Lytechinus pictus: one gene and its partner. The protein of the gene in region 2 purifies or fractionates together with the protein of the main gene of each other region. This does not show direct contact. Links are inferred from orthologs where the notes say so. Each region holds a gene or a part of one and is shown on either strand. Other genes may lie near its edges.

What was found.
Region 1: the proteins of iron-sulfur cluster co-chaperone protein HscB-like (region 2) and succinate dehydrogenase [ubiquinone] iron-sulfur subunit, mitochondrial-like purify together in Homo sapiens (co-immunoprecipitation; 3 studies listed by BioGRID and IntAct, with this or other methods). This does not show direct contact. The link is inferred for Lytechinus pictus from reciprocal best matches to the Homo sapiens genes HSCB and SDHB.

What each region holds. Positions count from the first base shown.
Region 1 is NC_087258.1:20,282,409-20,293,513, reverse strand, and holds the start of succinate dehydrogenase [ubiquinone] iron-sulfur subunit, mitochondrial-like, read left to right. Parts: upstream 1-5,777; 5' UTR 5,778-6,053; coding exon 6,054-6,119; intron 6,120-11,105. UniProt on the Homo sapiens protein: Iron-sulfur protein (IP) subunit of the succinate dehydrogenase complex (mitochondrial respiratory chain complex II), responsible for transferring electrons from succinate to ubiquinone (coenzyme Q).
Region 2 is NC_087246.1:19,725,962-19,737,143, reverse strand, and holds the start of iron-sulfur cluster co-chaperone protein HscB-like, read right to left. Parts: upstream 4,358-11,182; 5' UTR 4,347-4,357; coding exon 3,958-4,346; intron 2,864-3,957; coding exon 2,767-2,863; intron 2,042-2,766; coding exon 1,952-2,041; intron 1,321-1,951; coding exon 1,179-1,320; intron 822-1,178; coding exon 774-821; intron 1-773. Other genes in the region: probable G-protein coupled receptor 63, read left to right, coding at 10,557-11,182.

The sequences.
Region 1 (11,105 bases), on a different chromosome or scaffold from region 2:
GCCCCCTCTCTTTCTTTGTTTATATTTAAATTCAATTTGTTTTATTTCATTTTCAACATAACAAAGTAAAGTGGTCGTATATTATTACAGTGATATTTGCAAATGACACTTATTATACAAGCAATATAAATTGTGGTGAATACGACATATATATATATATTTTTAAGTATTATAAGTATTTTTTTTTAAAGTATTATTTTCAAGTATTATAAGCAAAGTTATCAGAAACATTATACAAATCTGAGAAAATGGAGGGATCCACAAAAAAAGCAAAAATGCTTTTAGTGTGTGGCCCCTCTGAATAGGAGTGACATCGCGTTTAAATTAGTGACCCTTGTATTTTTGCTCTCGTTTTTTTTTTTTTTTGGGGGGGGAGGGTTCATGTAACCCATTTCGTCTGGCTTCTATTCATTTTAAACCTTTGGCTTCCGATAGCTGGCCATTGCATTGAAATTAGTTAATTGTGCTTGTTTATAAAACGAATTATGTCTCCTCTACTATAATGCAAATTTCAATATCAATCAGATATGACTATTTACGTCTGGGACCGTTCTTTAACATCACTATCCGGAAGACGTGACCAGGGCTCGAACCTCGAACCTCTTCAGCATCAGTTCTTAAGGCTTCCCACTGTAGCTTACAGGCGTATAGGCCTACGCCACAACGCCAATTTGTTTTCAAACAATCGGGGTTAAATTGATAGAGGGGGCTATTCTGATAGGTTGCATGGTTCAGGACCCTTAATGCCTAATAGGTCCTGCAGGAAACTATTGCATGGCCCTACCGGGGGGGGGGGGGGGATACGACAAACCCCCCCCCCCCCCACACACACACACACACTCGCACACTAATTTGGATATCGTCGGTAAATCAGCGCCGCTGTCGGGAAAAATGAAAAAAAAGGCGAAAAGAAAAAAAGAAGGGAGAAAGAGAAAAGAAAAAAGGAAAGAAAAGAAAGAGAAAAAGAAATAAAGGAAGGACGGAAGAAAGAAAGTAAGAAAGAAAGAAAGGGACAAAGAGGAAAACAAAAGGAAGGAGAAAAACAGAGAGAGAGAGAGAGAGAGAGGAGAGAATGGGGTAGACAAAGTTTTGATTAGGTTAACTTGTGTGTCGGTTGCTTAAAGATGCGGGGTCTGAGATGTTGCACTAACGCTTGTCGGGGAAAATGACAAACTGTCGGGTCACGCAGGCCTGTTCCAACAGCAGACTGCTCCATATTTGTTCTTGCTTGGTCTTTCAGTTCCATTATCTTTGTCGGTAAAATAATGTCAAATTGACATATTATCGTGGGTAGCCTCCTGTATAGGCTATCGACAATGATTAGAAAAAGTCTTAATCTAAAAAAAAATCAGCTCGCGCTTCGCGCTCGAATGATTGATATATTTAGTGATAATTTTGCCGAAAATTTTGCTTAAACTTCCCTCAGATATCTAAAATTTCCGCTCGCTCTCCGCGCTCGCATTAAGATACACATATTGTTAAATTGCATATGCCACATCTGAGTTTGTTCTTTATATAAAAAAAAAACGTGTGAAAATGTTGAGTTTTCAAATCAAAACATCAAAAGTTGCTTAGTTCTATGCCTACATTCTTCATGGTTACATTGATTCGAAAGTTCTGTTTTTAGTTCTAAATCTGAAGAAAACATTAGCTCGCGCTTCGTGCTTGTTTACTGTGTTCTTTAATAAAAATATGTTTAACCAGTCTAGTTTTCAGGTCCAAAATCTATAAAAAAAAAAATAATAAAAAAAAATCGGCTCGCGCTTTGCGCTCGCTTTATTTGATTAGTGAGAAATGTATTACATTAATGAGTCACTGCAAATAGTTGATTAACATGTCATTTCCAGTAAGGTTAATGAAAAGTATCAGCTCGCATTAATTGTTATATACGCATATTGTTTATGTAAAAACTGCTTATGTCCAGTTTTCCGGTCGAAAAAAAAATCGGCTCGCGCTTCGCGCCCGCATCATTTGTTTGGTTAATATCCACCCTCTGCATGGTTACAATCGAGTTTTCAGGTCGGAATATAATTTTTTTGCAGCTCGCGCTTTCCACTCGCTCTATATTTGATTAGTGAGAAATGTATTCTATTAATGATTCCCTTTTTGTCAGGGCAGTTAATTAAAAGTTTCAGCTCTCCATAGCTTGAATTGTTTAGTTACATTATGCGTATTGTTACAAAAAGTGCTTACTAAATGTCGGAAATAAAAAATTTCAGCTCGCGCTTCGCAATCGCATCAATTATTGTTTGGTTATTATATCCATCATTTTTATGGTTACAATCGAGTTTTCAGGTCGAAATACAAAATGATCTAGCTAGCGCTTCAACCGCGTAGCCATGCAGTATTTAATTTTGGAGGGGGCGGTAAGTGCACGCGAAGCGTGCCACCGTGCCAACACTTACAGAGCGCGCGAAGAGCGCTCCCTAGGGTGCAGGGAGGGGGAGTTTCCCGCGCGGAGCGCGAAGTTTTTGATATCTCATCAAATTCAAATCAAAAGAAGGCGTCTCTAGTATACCCTTATCAACTCGAATATTGACTTGCTTTGATTAAAAAAAATTGTTTTCGAAAGAAATTATGAGCTCTCCAAAAAATGGGAAAAAATTGGAGAATTTGAAATAATTTCTCTTTCCGCGCAAAGCGCGGAAGCTTAAAACGTTTTAAAAGAGAGAGAGAAGAAATGATACAATTATGCCTATCTTGGTCACATCAGATTTGAGTGTAAAAAGTATATCCACATTAAATTTCGTTAACTCAAGTCGCAAAACAGAGTAGAAAATTGGTATATACATAAAAAATAGACCCTATTCCTTCCCGCGAATGGCGTTGAATCTCTGATTTTTGGAAATTTATCTGAAACTTTAACCTGTTCTAAGTTTGATATATCTTAGAATATATATAACTCAATTAAGAAGAAAAACGAGCTCAAAATGTGAAAGGGATGATGCAAGCTAGAAGAGGAACTTTTCCCTTGCTCGCGAAGCACGGCTGAAACCTCTGTGATTTATTTTGGAAGAAAAATTGTTTCGCTCATATTAAGGGCCTCTTTTTTTTTTATCAAGAAGCTTCAGTGATATTCAAAATTTCAAATCAATGACGCAAAATAAGACAGGAGATGGATGTGCAGCGATATAGAATAAAGTTTGATATCGTAAACACTATTGCAACTAGCATGGCACGAATTTATTTCCTCTCCCTTTGAGCAGACACTTTGCCAAAAATTACTTGCTGAAAAGCGGAAGAAAAAGCACTTGGGGACTCGGGAATGAAAGTAATGTTTACCCGCTCCGAACAGAAGAGCCAACATTTTGTATCAATGCAATATTAAAAAAAAACACTTTTCATACTCTTTACACCCATGTATACTTAATAATTTCTGGCAAGAACATACAATTCCCACGGCCGGGAAGGGGAAACATAGAGTAGAAAAAAGATGTGGGAAACAAAAGAGAATGGCAATTTTGATATTTTTCTCGCGCGAAGCGCGGAAGCAAATTTATAGCATGAAGAGAGAAGATTACGTCTCGTTTATGTTGTTATTCTTTTGACCAAAAAGAAGGAAAAAACAACAAGAGCTATACCTTTGTTCCCTTTTCTCCTTTCGCTTTTTCTTTTTCTCCTTTTCCTCTTATTTTTTTCTTTCTGGGAGCGTTTTGAGGGGGGCGACCGCCCCCACCGCCCCCTGGCTACGCGCCTGTAGCGCTTCGCGCTCGAATGTTTGGATTGAGAACAGTCTTTAACAGGATCTTTATGCTGCATGGCCAGTATTAAAAATTTCAGCTCGCGGCGCTTTGCGCTCCCATGGATCGTTTTCTAAATACCCCCCGACCATGATGATTTCAAAAGCTGCCCACAGTGTTCAATTTTCAGGGCTAAATAGGCCTATATATAAAATATCCAAAAATTTGAGCTCGCGCTTCGCGCTCGCATGGTAATTTAGATTCAGGCCACATGAAATACCTTATGTAATTTATGTTGCTTCTAAAAATGAAAATTTAGTTAGGACTAACCCCTTAAAAAAAAAAGAAAGAAAGAAAATAAGATTTTGGCCGCCGCGACGGGAAAAAGTGGATGAAATCGCCCCCCGCCCATTGAAGAAAGCTGCAACTGATCCTGGGTATGACGAAAGACTGGCTGAGGAGAATGAAGAACACCTCCAAGATTCATGGTCGCCGGACGTCGGTAATCGCTACCGATATATTTTTTTGTAATCAGGGCCTCCACATCCCCCCACTGGAAAAAGGCTTATAAAGACGCCCCTGCACGCACCCCCACTGGAAATCACGTTGACGAGCAACAGAATAAATGAATGAAGTCCTATTGGTCCCAAATGACGGATATATGGAAGCAATAACCTTTTCTTCTTTTTTTTTCCTTGTCAATTTGACAAGAAAAAAAAAGAAGAAAAAAAATAACAAGACAGTAAAAAATAAAAATAAAAATAAAAAAATAATTCACTGCCAAATCTTTATAATTTGGCAGTGAATTTTTTTTTACTTTTATTTTTATTTTTTACTGTCTTGTTATTTTTTTTCTGACGAAAACCTCCAGCGCCCCTATTAAAGAGGGAACCAACTGAACACTTTATTTCTTATATATAGCTTCTATCGATAGGAGAAGCGCTGTATCGCTTTATATCGACCCTGGATCCACCTCTGATACGTTGACTCTGTACCTCTGACATGTCGGACGTTTTATCCGACAAGTCCCATTTTATCCGACAGTTACCATTACCTTAGGCCTCCTTTTTTGTAAATGGCGAGCCCGAAATATTTGGTACGTGGCCAGGTATAGGCAGCTAGGCCATTTTTAACGTACGTTTGATTTTAAAACGTTCAATTGAAATCAACGTTAAGCTTACTCAATTCAACCTACTTCTTCTTTTTGAACTCTATGAAACTCGCGGTTCCAGGATTGCTCTTGAAGGGATGGTGCGGGCTGAAAATATTTATATCTAAATAAATAGAGTAAAATTCACAAAGCAAAATGCTGAAAATTTCATCAAAATCGGATAACAAATAACGAAGTTAATGAATTTTAAATTTTTTCAATATTTTGTGAAACCAGTTGTAAGCACATCGTCAGGTGGGCTGATGATGTCACATCCACACTTTCCTTTTTCTTATATTATTACATGAAATCATAATTGTTTAATTTTTTCATACATGTGTAAATAATATGTGTCTCCATATAAGTTGCGTCAATAGATAACTAATGCACTTAATCAGTTGTCTTGCAATCCAATTGGTTTAGTTCTTGGTAGAATTTTTTTGAAAGAAACCTTACTGAATAAAATACAAAAGAACAAGTGGGGATATGACATCATCAGCCCACAAAATGAATATTCATGAAGACATGCCTAGAACTGTTTCACCGGAATGATGCAAATCTTTAAAATTCAATAACTTCGTTATTTTGTTATCAGATTTTGATCAAATAATTTTCAGCATTTTGCTCTGTGAATTTTACTCTATTCATTTAAGATATAAATATTTTCAGCCCGGACCATCCCTTTAAAAGTATCATATGGTAGTTCCCCCCCCCTCATCCGGGGTGTTCATGTTCACTCATGTAAGAGCATATAGTTTTTCCCCCGAAAACTTGACAAGCCCAAATGATAACAGCTTTTCTCTCCCCAGGCAATCCACTTTAAGCCAGCAAAAAAAGTTGTTTCTCACAAATGAAAAGTTCCTCCTTTTTAGTTGGGGCAAATTTTACGGGGTGCGCACAGAACTCCCCCCCCCCCCCCCCCGTCTCCACCAGGCCCAGGATGATTCGTTGTTATTAGTCTATGTTCAGTGCATGGTTCTACATAACATGGAAAAGGCAGCAGAGCAATAGAATCCCAGTGCAGTCAAGAAATTAACCTTTTTCCAGACAATTTCATGGTAGTTATAATGATACACTGTACTTCACGTACCGCATTATCTTGTGAACTAGTACAAAACGCCTCGTTTTACGTCTATTTTCTTACCCTCTTTTGTAACGTAAATCGGCCGGTGATATAACGCTCAGAAAATACACCAACGATTACCTGTGAAATCGAATGCGAAATGGCGACTGTACTTCGAAATTCATTATCTCTGCTTCAGAGACAAAATATATCACAATCATGTCAGGTAAGCTTTGTTATATTTTATCTCATTTAATTTGATACTGAAATGCCTTATTATCAATCCTGTTATGAGTTGGAATATCGCTTTTTATTTTTGTTAGAACTGTCTTGGTCTTGGATATGGATACCGGCAATACCGGTACCGTAGGCCTACTGTTATGTCACAAGCGATTCCGATGCACACAATGCGAATGGGGGTATCACGATTCTGTGATACAGTAATATGGATTGCGCAGCGCAGGAGTTAACTCACTGATTGAATCTAAAGCAATTTATTGTGTTAGCATTGCCATTGCCATTGGCATTAGTGAGAGTGGTAAAATTAACCAAAGTAGACATGGTAGACAGTCGCAGTAGGCTAACATTGTAACCTCTGTTAGATTCATACTTTCCAAAGAAGACATCAAGGCTCCATGTACAAGACAAACCGTGGATGACACCAGCCATCAAATCCTTGATTTCAGAGCGGCAAACCGCTTTTGCTCAAAACGATATTCCAAGATGGCATCAGCTGAGGAACAAGGTGAAACGACAGATTGTACTTTCCAAAGCTGATTACTACGTCAACCGGGTTCAGAAGATGAAGAAGTCAAATCCATCGAAATGGTATAGACACATCAAGATAATGACAAGTGGTCAGGTGAAGTCACCAAAGATTGATATCCCTAGTACTGATCCCTGTGACCTGAGGAGCTGTGCAGAAGAGATCAATAGGTTCTTCACTGACATAGCAAAGGACATCCCAAAGTTGAACACATCTACTTTGCCATCTTATCTCCCTGCAAGCAAACTCCTTCCCTTTGTACAACCGTATCAGGTCTACAGAGAGCTGAAGAACATCAAACAGAGTAAGGCTCCCGGTCCAGATGGGATCCCAGCTAGAGTGATAAACCTCTTCGCCTACGAGTTATGCATACCACTTTGCGATATCTTGAATTCTTCTTTTCAGCAAGCAGTGGTGCCTGAGTGCTGGAAACGGGCTTGCGTTGTTCCAGTGCCCAAAGTCCCGCAGCCCACTATTGAAAACCTACGACCTGTATCACTGACAGATCATTTTTCAAAAGTAGCTGAGAAGTTTGTTGCTAATTGGGCTCTAAAAGACATGGAAGGGTCCATCGACAAAGCTCAGTTTGGAAATAGAAAGGGTATGTCAACATCGCACTATCTGATTGATCTCCTCAATGTAATACATGCTAATGTTGACAAACCGAAATCAATATGTACCCTATTGGCCACTGATTTCTCCAAGGCCTTCGATCGGATTGACCACAACCTGGCTCTATCAAAGCTCTTAGACATGAATGTTCAACCAGCATTGGTTGCATGGATATGCAACTTCTTGAAAGACCGGCAACAGTGTGTTAAGTACAGATCAGTAGTCTCAGGATGGAAGAACATACAAGCTGGTGCCCCGCAAGGAACTCGTTTAGGCCCGCTTATTTTCCTCTGCTTGATCAATGATGCATGCCAACAGAGTCCTAATCTACATTGGAAATACGTAGATGATCTCTCGATACTAGAAAACAGGAAAACGAGCGACCCTGCCACCATCCAGAAGAGTGCGGATGAGCTTCAGCAGTGGTCTAAAGATAACAACATGAAACTCAACCCGAGTAAATGTGCTGTCATGCACATAAGTTTCATGAGAACAAGTCCACCAAATCCCACTGTTGAACTCGAAGGGCAGGAACTATCTGAAGTCCAGTTCATGAAACTACTTGGAGTTTGCATTCAGAAAGATTTGAAATGGACATATCATGTCAATGAGATCACCAAGCGCGCAAGCATGAGGCTTCATATGTTGCGCATCCTCAAGGGATTCAAACTACCCCTTGATGATTTGAAGGTAATTTATTCCTCCTATGTTCGTCCAGCATTAGAGTACTGTGCACCAGTTTGGCACTCTGGACTTGACGCATCACAGAGAAAACAAATTGAGAGGATACAAAAACGCGCATTCCGCCTCATGCTTGGGCCTGCTTACCAAGATTATGACCATGCACTAGAAGTGCTCAACCTATCTACTCTTGATAAGCGGAGAGAAGGACTATGTATGAGACTAGCAAAGGGCGTGAGTCTTCATTCCTCCCCCTTTCACGACTGGCTACCTCCAACTCGTGAGGCGGTCCACAAACGTTCACTACGTCACAGCAATATGTACACTGAAATACGCTGTAGAACAGAACGCCGTCGCAAAAGCGCTGTCCCATACATGGTCCGACTACTCAACAATCAATCGAATATGTAATTAATTTAAAAAACTATGATTAATTAAAACATGCCTTTTCAGTTAATACATGATACGACATCTCAACAAGCAATCAATGTGTTAACAATATCCAAATTATGCAAATAGATTTTAAACAAAACGATATTAATATGCTATCGTCTAATATGATAATATTATTATTGTTATTATTATGTTTTCGTTTACTTTAAATTCTGGTTACGATTCTTTGTAGCAAAATGATAACAATAATAAAGCTTACATATTTGTGCTCAATATTACTTTTACCACATCTAGCATTGCTTGTTTTCAATGGGCATACTTGTTTTTTCCCCATCTTGGTATAATCGTTTAATATGCTAATTCCATGTTTATACATGTACAACCAGAAATTGTTTAATCAATCATTAGATTTATGATATCTCTTATTTCCTTGTAAGCCAGGTGAAATGCACCTATCTCATTGACAAAATCCCTTTAAGCAGTTTTACCAACCTTATCGTCATTTTCCCCCTTATTCCGGCACTAGTTATATTTCATCTTCAATTCTTTAAAGAAATGCCATTTGTTTATAATTTCTGTTACTTATTTCATTCATGCAAGCTTATGAATTACTGACTTTATCCCCACAGAATCATACTGTTGTTACAACTATCCAAGATTACTTTTATCCCATGTATAAAATTATTCTACTCTTCTCCTTTCTTAAATTTCAACATATAACATTTATTTTATTACTTTTACATGTCATTTTGTTATAGTCACTGTTATTGTATATATTTTGTATTTTACCTTGTACAGAATTTCGCAATTCAGCCTTCGGCTGCGATGAAGTTTTCTTAATAAACCATTTCAATTACAATTACAATTACAACATTAATTTAGACGAGTCTTAAATTTCTTGGCTTGCACTGCAGCCATCATGCAATATGCTGTTTATGCAGACATTGGAAGAAATTTTTTAAACAGTCGTTCGTTGGCCGTCTTTCCAGACTAACTTTCATGACTTTAGAAAAGTGGAAGAAGATGATTTGACATGGTTGAGATGATGAAGGAACGTGTGTAACATCTAACATATTAAGAAAGAAGGAATTTCGGAATCTTTGAGAACTAGACTAGAGTCTAGAAAAAAGAAAGGAAGGCAGCTGGCAGCAGGGGATATAATGTTAGGCCAAAAGCTTCGGTCTCTGTTATGTTGGTTGTTCCGCTGAACTACGTTGGCTCCACTCACCAAATACAGAGACAGAAGTTCTAGCGCGATCTGTACAGGGGACTCGATGGCCATATGTTTATGTACTTAAGTTCGGATAAAATGGGGGAGTGAAGTTGCGCGACAGCCGAAGTAAGTCACTGTTTTCCCCTTTTAAGTTTATTTTTCCTCGTTTTGGTGCATTTCAGGCCAAAACAGTATAATAATCTCTATTTTGGTTCAATTCTTTTTCAATATTTTTATGAAATAAAGACAAAAATCGATGTGCCCCATCCGGAGGATTTTGCATTGTAAGTCCCCTAATGGTGGCTGCACGATAGCGAGCCGTCTGTGTACGAGGAGAAATAAAAAAATAAAAAAATGCTGAAAAACTCCTCGAAACAGACGGCTGCCAGCTGTCTACAGGGGATGGTGACTTCAGTCATGTCAGTCAATAATTGGCAGTGACATTTTTTCAGGACAAAAATTGAAAGGATTGGGGAAAGGGGTGGGGCAGAAAATACATTCTATCACATGGCATCTTGTTCATTTATTGTAATGATATAGAGCTCTACATAGTCTACATGTAGGTCTTTGAGGTAAATTTACAAATTAAATTTGAAATATACTCTTGGGGAAAATATGTTTTAAAAGCATTTTAACATTTAGTTTATGAAGAAAAAAAAGAAAGGAGGAGGACCTTTGGTTTTTTTTAAAGGGTGGACCACAGCATGCACTCCTATTGTATTTATTCCAAATAACTTGCTTCTCTTTTTTCCCCCAAAATGATCGATCGCTGTTTGAAAAAATATATATTCACCAGTTGGACTTGAAAATATTTGAAAATCATGAAAATCATTGAATAATTCTTTCCCTGAAAAAAAATCATGAAATAAAAATTTTTACAGATTTTACACAAGTTTACAAAGAGAATTTTTCTTTTAAATGAATGAAAAATAGGATTAAAAGAAAGGAAGCATACATGAAACGATTAGCATAAAGCATACTATTTGTACTATGGCCATATTCATAGACCTTGGCTTGTATCAATGTACAGTATGTAGTGTACATACTACATGCACATCCTTCTAGGCCTCATCAAGTGTTGTAACTATTCAGAACTGAAGGGCAATTCCATGAAATATGTTCGTCCAACCCCCTTTATGCGGGACCTTCATGAAATTTTCTGTCTCAGATTAGTTGTTCTTTTGACAGTCTGTAATGCTCTCAATGACCATGACTTGGTCAGTTTATGAAGTGAAGTAAAACTTGAGAAAAATGGGGGTTGGACGTACAAAAAGGTTGATTATTTTATGGAATTGCCAAGAAACTTCTGAAATGAGACCTGACAGTATTGCTTTAGATATGCCTAGTTTTAGAAAATGAAAAATAATAAGAAGATGCAAACAAGAATCCATTTGGAATTATTAATTGTAAATTATAGAGAAATTAATTTTTTACTGTTGAGCTGGGGATTCATCACAGGGTTAGTGTGACTGAATGACATAATGACTGAAATGAAGTTTCTGAATTACTGAAAAAATTGTATGTGTAGCCTACATATCAATTTGTTG
Region 2 (11,182 bases):
CGGACGATGTCACCCGAAACCCGATCGTTTGGGGCCAAGAAAGGAGTAATAATTTCTTTTTTGATTACTTACAAATGAAAGAGTTGCACCATTTTTTAGGAAACATGGGCATAATAAGAGATTTCATTGGTGTAAAATGTGAAATTTTACAGTCCTTTGGGCAAAGTTACAGAACCAAACTTTGTAGCTGGGGTGTGCAGCACAGTGCATGTATACGGCGGGGTCAACTGGGCATTTTCGCCGTAGTGTAACGGCTCCCATTTGTGATTTTTTTCTGGCGCCCGGGCATACTAGTTTTCGAAGGAGCCAGGCGCAAAACCCTTTGAACCGGGAGCAAAATTGCGCCTGGCGCCCGGTTAATAAAAAGCTTGTTTATAACCATTATATTTAAGTTCATATATTCATAATAATCTTGAAAATAAGTATTCATTCTTAACCTTGGGTAGCCCTGATATTTACCTTAATCATGTGACCTGAAACTCCTGCCAAATGATCAGTGATACCTGATTATATGTCCAAGTTCCATGAAATAGGCCCTTAAAATTTTTAAATTATGATGAAATTTCAAATTTTTTTACTTCGGTTAAGATGCTGACACCATCATCGTCGGATGTATTATGGAAGCATAGTATACCCATTTCTGCTTGTCTAAAGTCCACTTATGGGTGATATAGAATATTCCATGAAAAGAATGAATTAATGAAATCATGATCAAATGAAACAATATCAATATAACGAAATCTTTTCATATGCATTACATTTATTAATCTCACCTTCATCAAAAGCCACTCTGAGTTTATCCAGATGGTCGTTCAAACTCACTGAAAAAGAAGAGGCAAATATAAGTATGTACGTGAAAAGTGATTCCTGAATTGGAAATCATACTTTTATACAACTTGTCTGGGTATGTTGGCACCAATTCCTCCAATCAGATGGACGATTGCTAATAAAAGTTGGTGCTAAAATAAAACAATTCTCACATTAATACATTGACAAGCAAACTTTGCTGTGCCTTTGTGCATTGCTCATTTTAGTGCAGTCTAAATTTCACCTTTTTAAAACACTTTAACATGCACTAAATAACCATTATACACACTCATTTCAAGCAGAACGAAATCAACCAAATATTTACAAAGTGCTCTTTTCTACAGAGTCCCACTCCTTATGATTAAACTTACCTGTATTTTCTTTTCCTATTCGTTTGACAGTTTCAAGATCATCAGTATCGGCTAGCTCTTCATTGATTTCCATCACCTCCATGAGGAATAACGGTTCTATATTACTCTCTCCTTCTTCTATTGAAAACCCTCTGAGCTCAAGCTGTGTATCAAAGAAACATAATAAACTGGATTTATCTAGCACCTTTTCCAAAGGACACAAACTGCTGCTTACAATGTTAAGTGACTTAAGATTTATCATATATGACTGTTTCAAAACATTTTCAATAGATCAAGGTAATGTTGCATCAAATTGGAACTTATTCCAAAGACATGGGGCAAGTGATTAAAAAGAATTGAAGCCAACTTGTTCTCTGAATTTGAGCATGACTGACATATCAATGAGCAGGTATAGAACAAGCATGTTGCTCTCTGTGTTGCTGAAAGAGTGGAGAGCCAAACCTGTTCAAAACCTTTTCACTCTTGTGCGTTAAAATGATTATGCAATTAAACAAGGAAATTATAAATATTAAATGAACTCCAGTAAATGTTTACAAGGCTATTAATCTTAAGAAATATTGAATAAATATGAAACCTAGCATTTCAAAGAAGAGCGGACCTAGGCTTATCATGGACTTAACCCGGATTAGCTTATAAATACCACCCAAAGACTTTATCATGAACGTTTGACCAACATGTTCATTTTCTATCAGTAAAACAAACACAACTTCATGATATTGCAATTAACACCCTTTGTATCATAGAAAAAGAAAACACTTAATTTAGTTAATTACCAAGTAGAGGCCTCTAGAAAGTGGTTTGAGAAGCACCTTGTAAGCTCGATTCACAGCCGATGACTGGGCAGCGGAGTAGTTCTGTTCTGTCTGTGTGAGAATAAATGAAAGGATAAGTTCTTGACCCTGCTTCTCCAAAGTCTCTGCAAATTGAATTACAGTTTTAAGGAGTCTCAACACGGTAAGTTCTTGGAAAAGTGAACATGAAATTGTTTGTGTATTTGAAGGAGATTCTACACAAATCATTAATTATGTGTAGTAAGAAATAATATTACCTGAACAGTTATTATGCACTCTATCTATGCATGATTTGAAATAATTTTGGGCACAGATTGCTGGAATGTATTCAGTGTGCATGCACTTTCTACAAAGTGCTGGGTCCTGTCAAATTTAAGTTACTACTGTCATGGCATCTTTACCATCCGCTGTCAACTTCCATTGAAACAATACCCAATCAGTATCCAGATGCAATGGGATATTCCATGGCAAAGAGACCATTTTGCCCAAGTCTGATGATGACATATAATCCTGAACTCAACCGACTTTGCCCTGACAACCAAAATAATGCATCTCACAATCCCATTTGAATGTATTTGAAATCACCACCTTTACATGAATTTAACATCAGAGCACTTAACTTCAAGTGACTTTCATTTTTTCAGTGAGCAAGGTGCATTGCTATATTATTGTATAGGCCTACATAAATTCACTTTTGCTCTTGGAGCCCCCCCCCCCCCCCATATAAAAATTACCACAAAAACAATACCCAAATACAATGGTTTTATAGAGAACACTGAATGGCTTTTCTTTTTTACCTCTGATTTATTGCTGAATTTGTCTGGGTGAAGCAACCTCTGAAGGTTTCTAAAGCAGTTGGTCAGGTCTTGAACTTCAACATCAAACTTCTCCTCCCTAAACAAGTACCAAATGAATTCAGTGCAACAATTAACATTCATTCAAAATTTCAAACTTAAAAAAAAAAAACAATTTTACATATAACGAGAAGAAAACTTAAAGGATTCTTCTTCCTGTAGACTTTCCTCTTTGGGATAAAGTGTGAAGCTCTCTAAATCCAGACTAACGGGGAAGCAAAAAAAGAAAGGCACTCACTCAGTATATAATGCGTGGCGGGTACGTGCCACAGAGAGGACCCCCATTTTTACATTGAGGAAAGGAACAAAGAAAGCCGCTCCAAAGCATATCACTTTCTTCTTATCGAGAAAAAAGAAGAAATTCGTTCCAAAGCTTTGCATATTTTTCGTTATGCTGTTCGGCCACATTGATCTGCGACAATGAGTTGCAATTTTGGTGAAAAGCAGCCGCACAGAGCTGTCCGACCATCGCCTCTGCGCAAGCGCACCTGGCGCCCATATCCCATGCCAGCGGGTTAGCTGCATGCACTTATGCCCGTATAGGGCGATGTTCGTGCAGGCACCACTCCACTTCACTACCTGACTACCGCTACACTACACTCCACCTGCCCGAACATCGATACCGTGAACTCTATCTGATATTCCGAGTGACAAAGGTGGGATTTTATGGGGGGAAATATAAAATTCATGCAACATCACGATCTTTAAAAACAATTAAAACTAATATTCTTACTATACACAAAGTTTCACTTCTTTGGCTTTGCCATGCTTCTATCAGTCTCAAAATTCGTGATTTAGAGCCAACATGAATTGAAGGTCCTCACACGTATAATTATTTGCTGCCGATTTCAAAACATCGCATGCGAGGCTCCAAAGCCCGTTTTTTGTCTCGCTGTGGCACATACCTACCAATTTTTTGGTCGAGCACCCCCCCCCCCCCCTCCGGGGCATCTCCTGTGCCATTTGTGGCATTAATATTTCGATCCCAGTTCAAGCCTTCTTCATCTCAAATAATCATGATAATATGCCCGATATCTGAATATCAATCTCTTCCCATCAATTTAGCACCTGATCATTCTCTTATTTAAACTGAACATCTTATTAAAATGTTTTCTGAAGCAAAAGAAGCATTACATTCCCATGATCTGAAAGTGGTTCAATCCGTCCTCCAGCGGCTGGATCATACTGCACGAGGCACAGAACAGAGCAGCGACGCGAGGTCCTCCACTGGACGTCTCAGACCGGGAGAGTTCGTCGTTGCAGTTCCAACAGCGTTTCGCAGAAGAGCAATACAAACGCTCTGTGACGATGATCATCCTGCTTCGTTGTCCATCATACGATTTTTTAGTGCATGACCAATTCGACAAGACTGATTTCATGTTTTGTCTCCTAGAGTATGTGCATGGTGAGCTGGAGATGAAGTTTCTTGAAGATATTCCTCTCTTTAATCTCATAATACTATTTGCACGTGACAGAGCCAGACGACAAGAGTTTATCCATGAAGCTGCCATGTTACTGACCATGCATAGCCATACATATGTGCGCATACAACAGAGCTATATATATAGCTAGCTAGCTCTGAATCGCGATCCGGTACCGTATATCCAGGGTCGACGTCGCAAGGGGGGGGGGGGGGGGGGGGGAGGACGAGAGACCCCTCGCCCCCTGGCCACTCAAGTTATTTTTTGAGAGTGGTGAAGCTCCTGTTTTTTACTTAATAATGCTATATCGGCCCAGAAAGAAAATAGTGGCAAACATCTTTGGATGAAAAATTCCTACTTTGCAAATAATTCATATTCCTCTTTATTTGGATATGAGATAAGTTTCAAAGCCCTATATAGTGGTTTGAATTCTGATCCGGTTCTGATCACCATCATCCATCCTTTTTCTGATCATCCATATAGGTCTATATGCTATTATAGTTCTAGATCACCTCTTGTTTAACCCTCGGGGGCACTCAAAAGGTGCAGGGCCGATGTTGTCTCTAAATCTGAAATCATACCCTTAAAGGAGTATAGGCATGATAGGTCTAGCTCCGGGATGAAAATAATATGATTTGGAGAGATCACTAAAAGTGTCATTAAAATGTGAGCTGCACGATCTCCACTCGATAACGCGTATAGCTGCTAATTCCACACGTGAAAAAGATTTACACACGTATTTCCATATTAAATTATACTTTTTTTTCTTTAAAAAAAGATCGCATTATTGTCCACCACTGAGATCATTTATAATAAGACTCCTCGTGCAATTAAATATTTGACTATTTCTTTTCATTCTTTTCATTTCGTTTATTAATTTCATTTTCATATTTCTCCTTTACATCTGATTCACATAAAAAGTAGCAACAATAATGCAAAACTATTAAATTATAAACAACTGAGAAGACATACAATAGCATAGTATAATGATGCAATCAGTCCAGTTAAGGTATATAGAAGCTTAGGCCCGTAAGTCAAAGAAATATGATCGGACATACATGAAAGCAAGGCTTGTAAAAAATTGCAGGCCCCGGTGAGATAAGTTGTAATTAATAGTGGAAGACGGATAATTATTTCATGACCTTAAATATGCAGATTGGAATTTTCAATTAAATACAGAACAAATGAAAGAAAAATATTTAAAGATATGAAATTGAAGTGGTCAAGGCATTACAAATTATCAACATACGGTGAATAGATATATCTTTCCATGACATGGCAAGTACGTACACCCGTATATAGGCCCTACATGTATGTACATAAATTAGTAAAATCATATCTGATATAATTATTACTGTCACATCACAATGTGCATATTGCTCAGCTGGTATACAGCAAGAGAAATACAGTTGTAACCAGAGAAAGAGCCCAAAAAAGACAAAACAAATACAAAACAAAAGACAACAGAAAAAAATACGAGGTATATGACTTACTAATCATGGAGATCAAGACAATGAAGAAAAAGCAGGTTCAAGAAATAATAAGTTGTTTTTAAAATAAATGTGCATCCTGTTATATCTGGCGGAAGAGTACGGTATGTATTTTGGTCTTGTGAATATTATTGTGTTTTTGTGTAAAAATTGTTCGAGTTAGAGTAAGATGGTATACTCTGACGCGTAGGATATGTGTGATATGATTGATTTTTTTTAACATTTGTGAAAAATTTTCTGGTAATTCGTCTTTAGATAAATGATACATGAATATACCAATGTTATATATATATAAAAGTCAATGACCTTTAGTATTTTGTTTTCATGAAAAAGTGATTTGTGTGACACAAGTACCCCGCGTGGTTTGCTTCTATGAAAAAATACACCATTCATTCTCCATGAACTATCAAAATTGAAATGAATAAAAAATATCTAATGCAAAGCCTATCCTTACAAAAGGAACTCGAAAGTAAAGTAAAATTTATAACTGAAAATTTTCGTGTTTGAAAAATAAAAAATTGACGTCTTCCCATGATAGCACCAATTCATGATGTATACTGCTTCATAATAGTATTTGTTTAAGAAATCTCGGGAAACTTGTGTAGAATAGGGCCCACTGCTTCGTATTGAATAGTATCTGTTAAAGAAATCTATGGAATTTTTGGAGATAAAATAATTTTCTAAAGTAAATATAATGTTCTAAAGTGATCAGAATCAGATGATTCATGTGAATGAATATTTTACTTCAACAATATCTTTTTGATTCTACGCACTTCATGTCGTTCATTATTTTAAATGCTCTCCAACTATTTCCTCATCGATAACAATGTCATGTCTGTTAATCAGTGATTTTGATTGAATTGATTTAGAACAATAATAGATCATTAATTGATCTCTTAATTCATTTAGTAGGCCTACTATACCATTTACACAATCTTTCGTACATATTTATGATGGCCGAACCCAGCGCGCAGGGGGCGGTGATGGGGGTGGACAATTAAGTGTTACACTTTTACTGAAAATTTTCACAAAATTTGTCAAAGTGTGCTCGCAAACCTTAGGTATTATAAAAAAAAATGACAAGCGCCTCCATGACAAGACTTCACTCCCTCGCTTTCGAGTTTTTTTTTAAATATGCGTCATGCCCCCCCCCCCCACTAAAAAACTTGGTGTACGGTCATGAAGGTCTATCCCTTAACTGTACTTGTTATTCATTTCTTCAATCATTATTGACTGAAAACAATACTCATTTCATTCATCTATAATCATTCATTCATTCATTTATTTACTTTAATGAAACCATGCATAAAGTGTAATTGATAAATATTATAGGGTAGCCTACTCATGTACTAGTGTATGTGTCTCCAACCAATCCTTGATGAATTTACATTAGAACTTTGTGACTGAGACTGTTGACTTGTTATGTGCATTGGCAACGCCTGTGTATTTTGATATGGGGAACAAGGTTGACATAAATGTAACTTTATTTCTTTTTCGGATTAAAATTTATGGATTTTTTTGTTATATATAATTATGTCTACTTTATGCTGCAGAAAAGTTTCGTGTCTCTTGTTTTGTTCGGCAAACTTTTAGTTATAAATAACACATTCATTGGGCAATTTTGACCATAGATGAATAATTTTAGTTGGTCACAGTTTCGACCAAAAGTTTGAGCGTTAAGCCCAAAAAACTTGTCTAATCCCTATTGGTTAAGGTTTTTTTTTTGTCCGACTGTTAAATGATTATGTTCAACATATAAGTTGGTCACATATTTTCTCTTCTGTTATTTATTTTAATTCCTTTTTTTAATCGGGGGGGGGGGGGGGTTGAACGCCTGCCCCTATATGGTACCGTCAGTGGCGTACCTAGGATTTTCCACAGGGGGGGGGGCAAATTCGTCCGCCAAAAAATTTGACAAGCAAAAAAAAAAAGGTCTTCAACCACAAATAAAGGGATTTCGTACCAGCAAAAAAATTGACAAGCAAAAAAAAAAAAAAAAAAAAGGGTCTTCGAGTTCAAAGGAGCGGGCCAGGGATCAGTTTTGACTCGTCAGGGGGGGGGGGGCAGGGATACGTCCCTTGCATGGGTTTTGACTCGTCAGGGGGGCAGTCTGCCCCCTCTGCCCCCCCCCCCGTAGGTACGCTAGTGGGTACCGTCCCGTCCCTGGTATAGTGGTATAGGCTATACAGTTTGCGTGTCTTCTCCCGGACGATATTCAACTTGTCGGATGTGACTAAATCTATTCCTTCCGGTTTGGTTGGTCAGTAAAGTTACAAGTGCACTGATATTTCCAAAGAAAAAGAAGACGTGATTAATTTTAGAAACAAACGAGTCATTAATTTGTTCCCTTAATTAATTGCAACGTAAGACTACGTGACCGATCCTAGTACGGTTGAGTAAACACGATTAGGATGTGACAATGATTCAGATACAAAAACGATGATAATTATGTTCAAGTTAGATATTTCTATTTGTTTATAATTAGTACCTTCATCAAGTTCAAATACCGATTACGTGAACCCAGGGGCGGATCCAGGATTTTTCAAGGGGGGGGGGCAAATTTTTCGGAGGAAAATTTTGAGAATATTTAGCACCCGAAAAAAAAATTTACAAGCAAAAAAAGGTCTTCAATTTCAAAAGAGGGGGCACACCTCTGTTTTAATGGCATTTTTACATTTTAATTCTTAATTGCCCCCCCCTGGATCCGCCAGTGCGTGTATTATCACCTTATGTATTTAGGAAGGCCATCTTGTATATATTTCCCTCAAAAGGTTCCTTTAAAAGTATTAAGGCATCCAACGATTTATATGGGGATTGGACCTGTAAATGCAAATTATAATATTTGAGTATACCCGAAAATGATCTTAGGAAAATATTGAGCAGTAGCCCCCAATCACAAATCACTATGTCAGTGCTCAAATGTAGAGCCCAGTACATAGTACCATTCATTAATTGCGACCTAATTTCAAATAAATTGTAAAAGCATTTTAAATGAAAATTCCACCTATTAAAACGATCAAATCCAAAATATTGGGATGAATAATTGAATCGAAAATCAAGCCTATATTTCGAGCCTCTGTGTAGAATTAAAGTTCAATTGCAAGTCGTATTAACTTGACGTCATCATCGGATGCGAGTTGAAGCTGAACTAGACTTTACTCCGACCACAATGTTTGCAACCAAGTAGAATTCCGATTTAATCATTCCTTTGATTGCACCTAATTGCGAAATATAATATAGTTTTTCTTCATGAAATTTCATATTAATGCGAAAATGCGACTTGTAAATAAAAAAAGAGTCGTTTTGGATCGTGTAGTGTGTACCGGGCGTATGGGACTATATAGGCGATTTCGTTACCTTGACAAAACTTTTAGAAATCTAAGCGCCTTAAAGATCATTAAAAAAAAAAACCTGGTTGATATGATCAGAATGGAAATAAAAAAGTGATTTTTGTAATTTTTCAAAAATGATGTTTTCTAAATAATGAATTGAGATAAAGTCATAAAAGAGAGAAGTAAGAATAAAGAGAAAGTGATTTAATTACTGTAAATGAAAGAAGAATAGGTCTACGACAAGTTTACGCCAACCAAATTAGTGTTTACAATCATCTATATCTGGATTGTCTTTAAAAACGGGGAATGTCCTTTTACTTTACCTTCGTTTTCAATGCGTCACAGGCACTGATGTTAGTGGAGAGAGATCAGTGGTCACAGGGTCTAGTCGTAGTGTTTCGGGCTATTGCAATCAAAACACCACCAACCACATTTCCTGCACTATCAAGAATTATCCAATCAGCAACGGTGTAACGCCATTCACCGTGTGATTGGGCTGTACGTGTATGAGCAGCTAATCATCGAAGAGCTTCTATCTTTCTGCAGCATAACATTACCGACCAGCGGAATGGTCAACAGAAAACTCGAATGATGGGTCATTATCAAACTGAGGCAATTTGGCTAAGAATGTTCTACAATGTCGGCTCTTAACCTGCCTGCACGAAAGGAGTTTTAGAATCATTAAGGATGACAATAATGATTCAAAGTTTTAAAATTTGACCGCTCTCTGTTCAGAGTCATATCCATTCGTATTTAATTTTCTCCCTCTTCTTGTAAGTATATGCACAATGTTTTTTATTCACCATGAGGGTTGAATTTTGTGTTGTCATCATTTTTTATATTTTATGCAATGGTCGCAAATAATTTTCGTTTTGACTCAAGGATTTTTTGCTCATTGTCTATTTAATTCCTTCATAATTATGAAATAATATGTTCAGTCGTACTTGGTGTCAAAGTAATAAAAATACTTGTCATTAAGTATTATCTAGGATAAAACATATTGGATTGGTGCTATTAACAAATGTTAACACTATATAATTCATAATACTAGTTACTGTTATTATTAGTATATTCGTTATCATCATTTTTTCCCAATAATATCATTGTTATATTTACCATCAATATTTTTTATTGTTAATCTAGTTGCCATTATTATTTTAATCATCGTTGTCATTATTACCATCATCATTGCCCTCATTATCATCACTATTATCGTGAATTCTATTATCATTAACATTATCATCATTAGGGATAAAAATAATGTAAACCAACATGCATATAAAACAAATAATCGAGTGCCTTGATAATTACTAGTATGTCAGAAATATCTTCCATAATCTTCTTTCTATCATTAATTGCAGGCTCTTACAGTGCAGAATATATGACACAGATGCGAATAAATTTTCACACACAAATTAAAGCAAGGTAATATCTAAACTTAGAAAGGAAAGTCCCCCGAGGACTTCGATGCCAGCTAGGGATATCAACTCATGAAGAGAATGTCGTCGACATCATTGCCCGGATCATTAGGGTCAACAATTCCTTCGACAACTATAGATTCGACAATGACGCATTCAATGCGGACATTAGCGTCGGACAATGAGCTAGCGCGGAGTAGCGTCAAACCCGTCGTCGACATCAACATGCCGACGTCGCCCCCGACATCGTCTTATTTTTCGACGTTCCATTCTTCTGGAGAACCCCTCAACAGCACTGTGTATTCAACGAACCTTACCCAACCAGCGGTGTGGGACCAGCCGACCATGATAGGACTCTCGGTGACACTGTGTCTTCTCATATTCATAAGCTTGATCGGAAATTCTCTCATTCTCCTAACGATGGTTATCTTCAAGCACATGAGGACGAAGACGAACATTTTTATCGCGAATTTGGCTTTCGCCGATCTTGGAGTGACACTCCTCTGCATGCCTTTCACCTTAACGACAATCATCACTGGAAAGTGGGTCTTTGGCATGGTCATGTGCAACACCAATGCATTCTTTGATGCTCTGTGTCTTGTCGGTTCTATCCACAGTCTCATGTACATTAGCATCCACAAGTTCTTCTCGCTGGTGAAGCCGTTGTCGAGGATCATCACACATCGTCGCATGTGGAT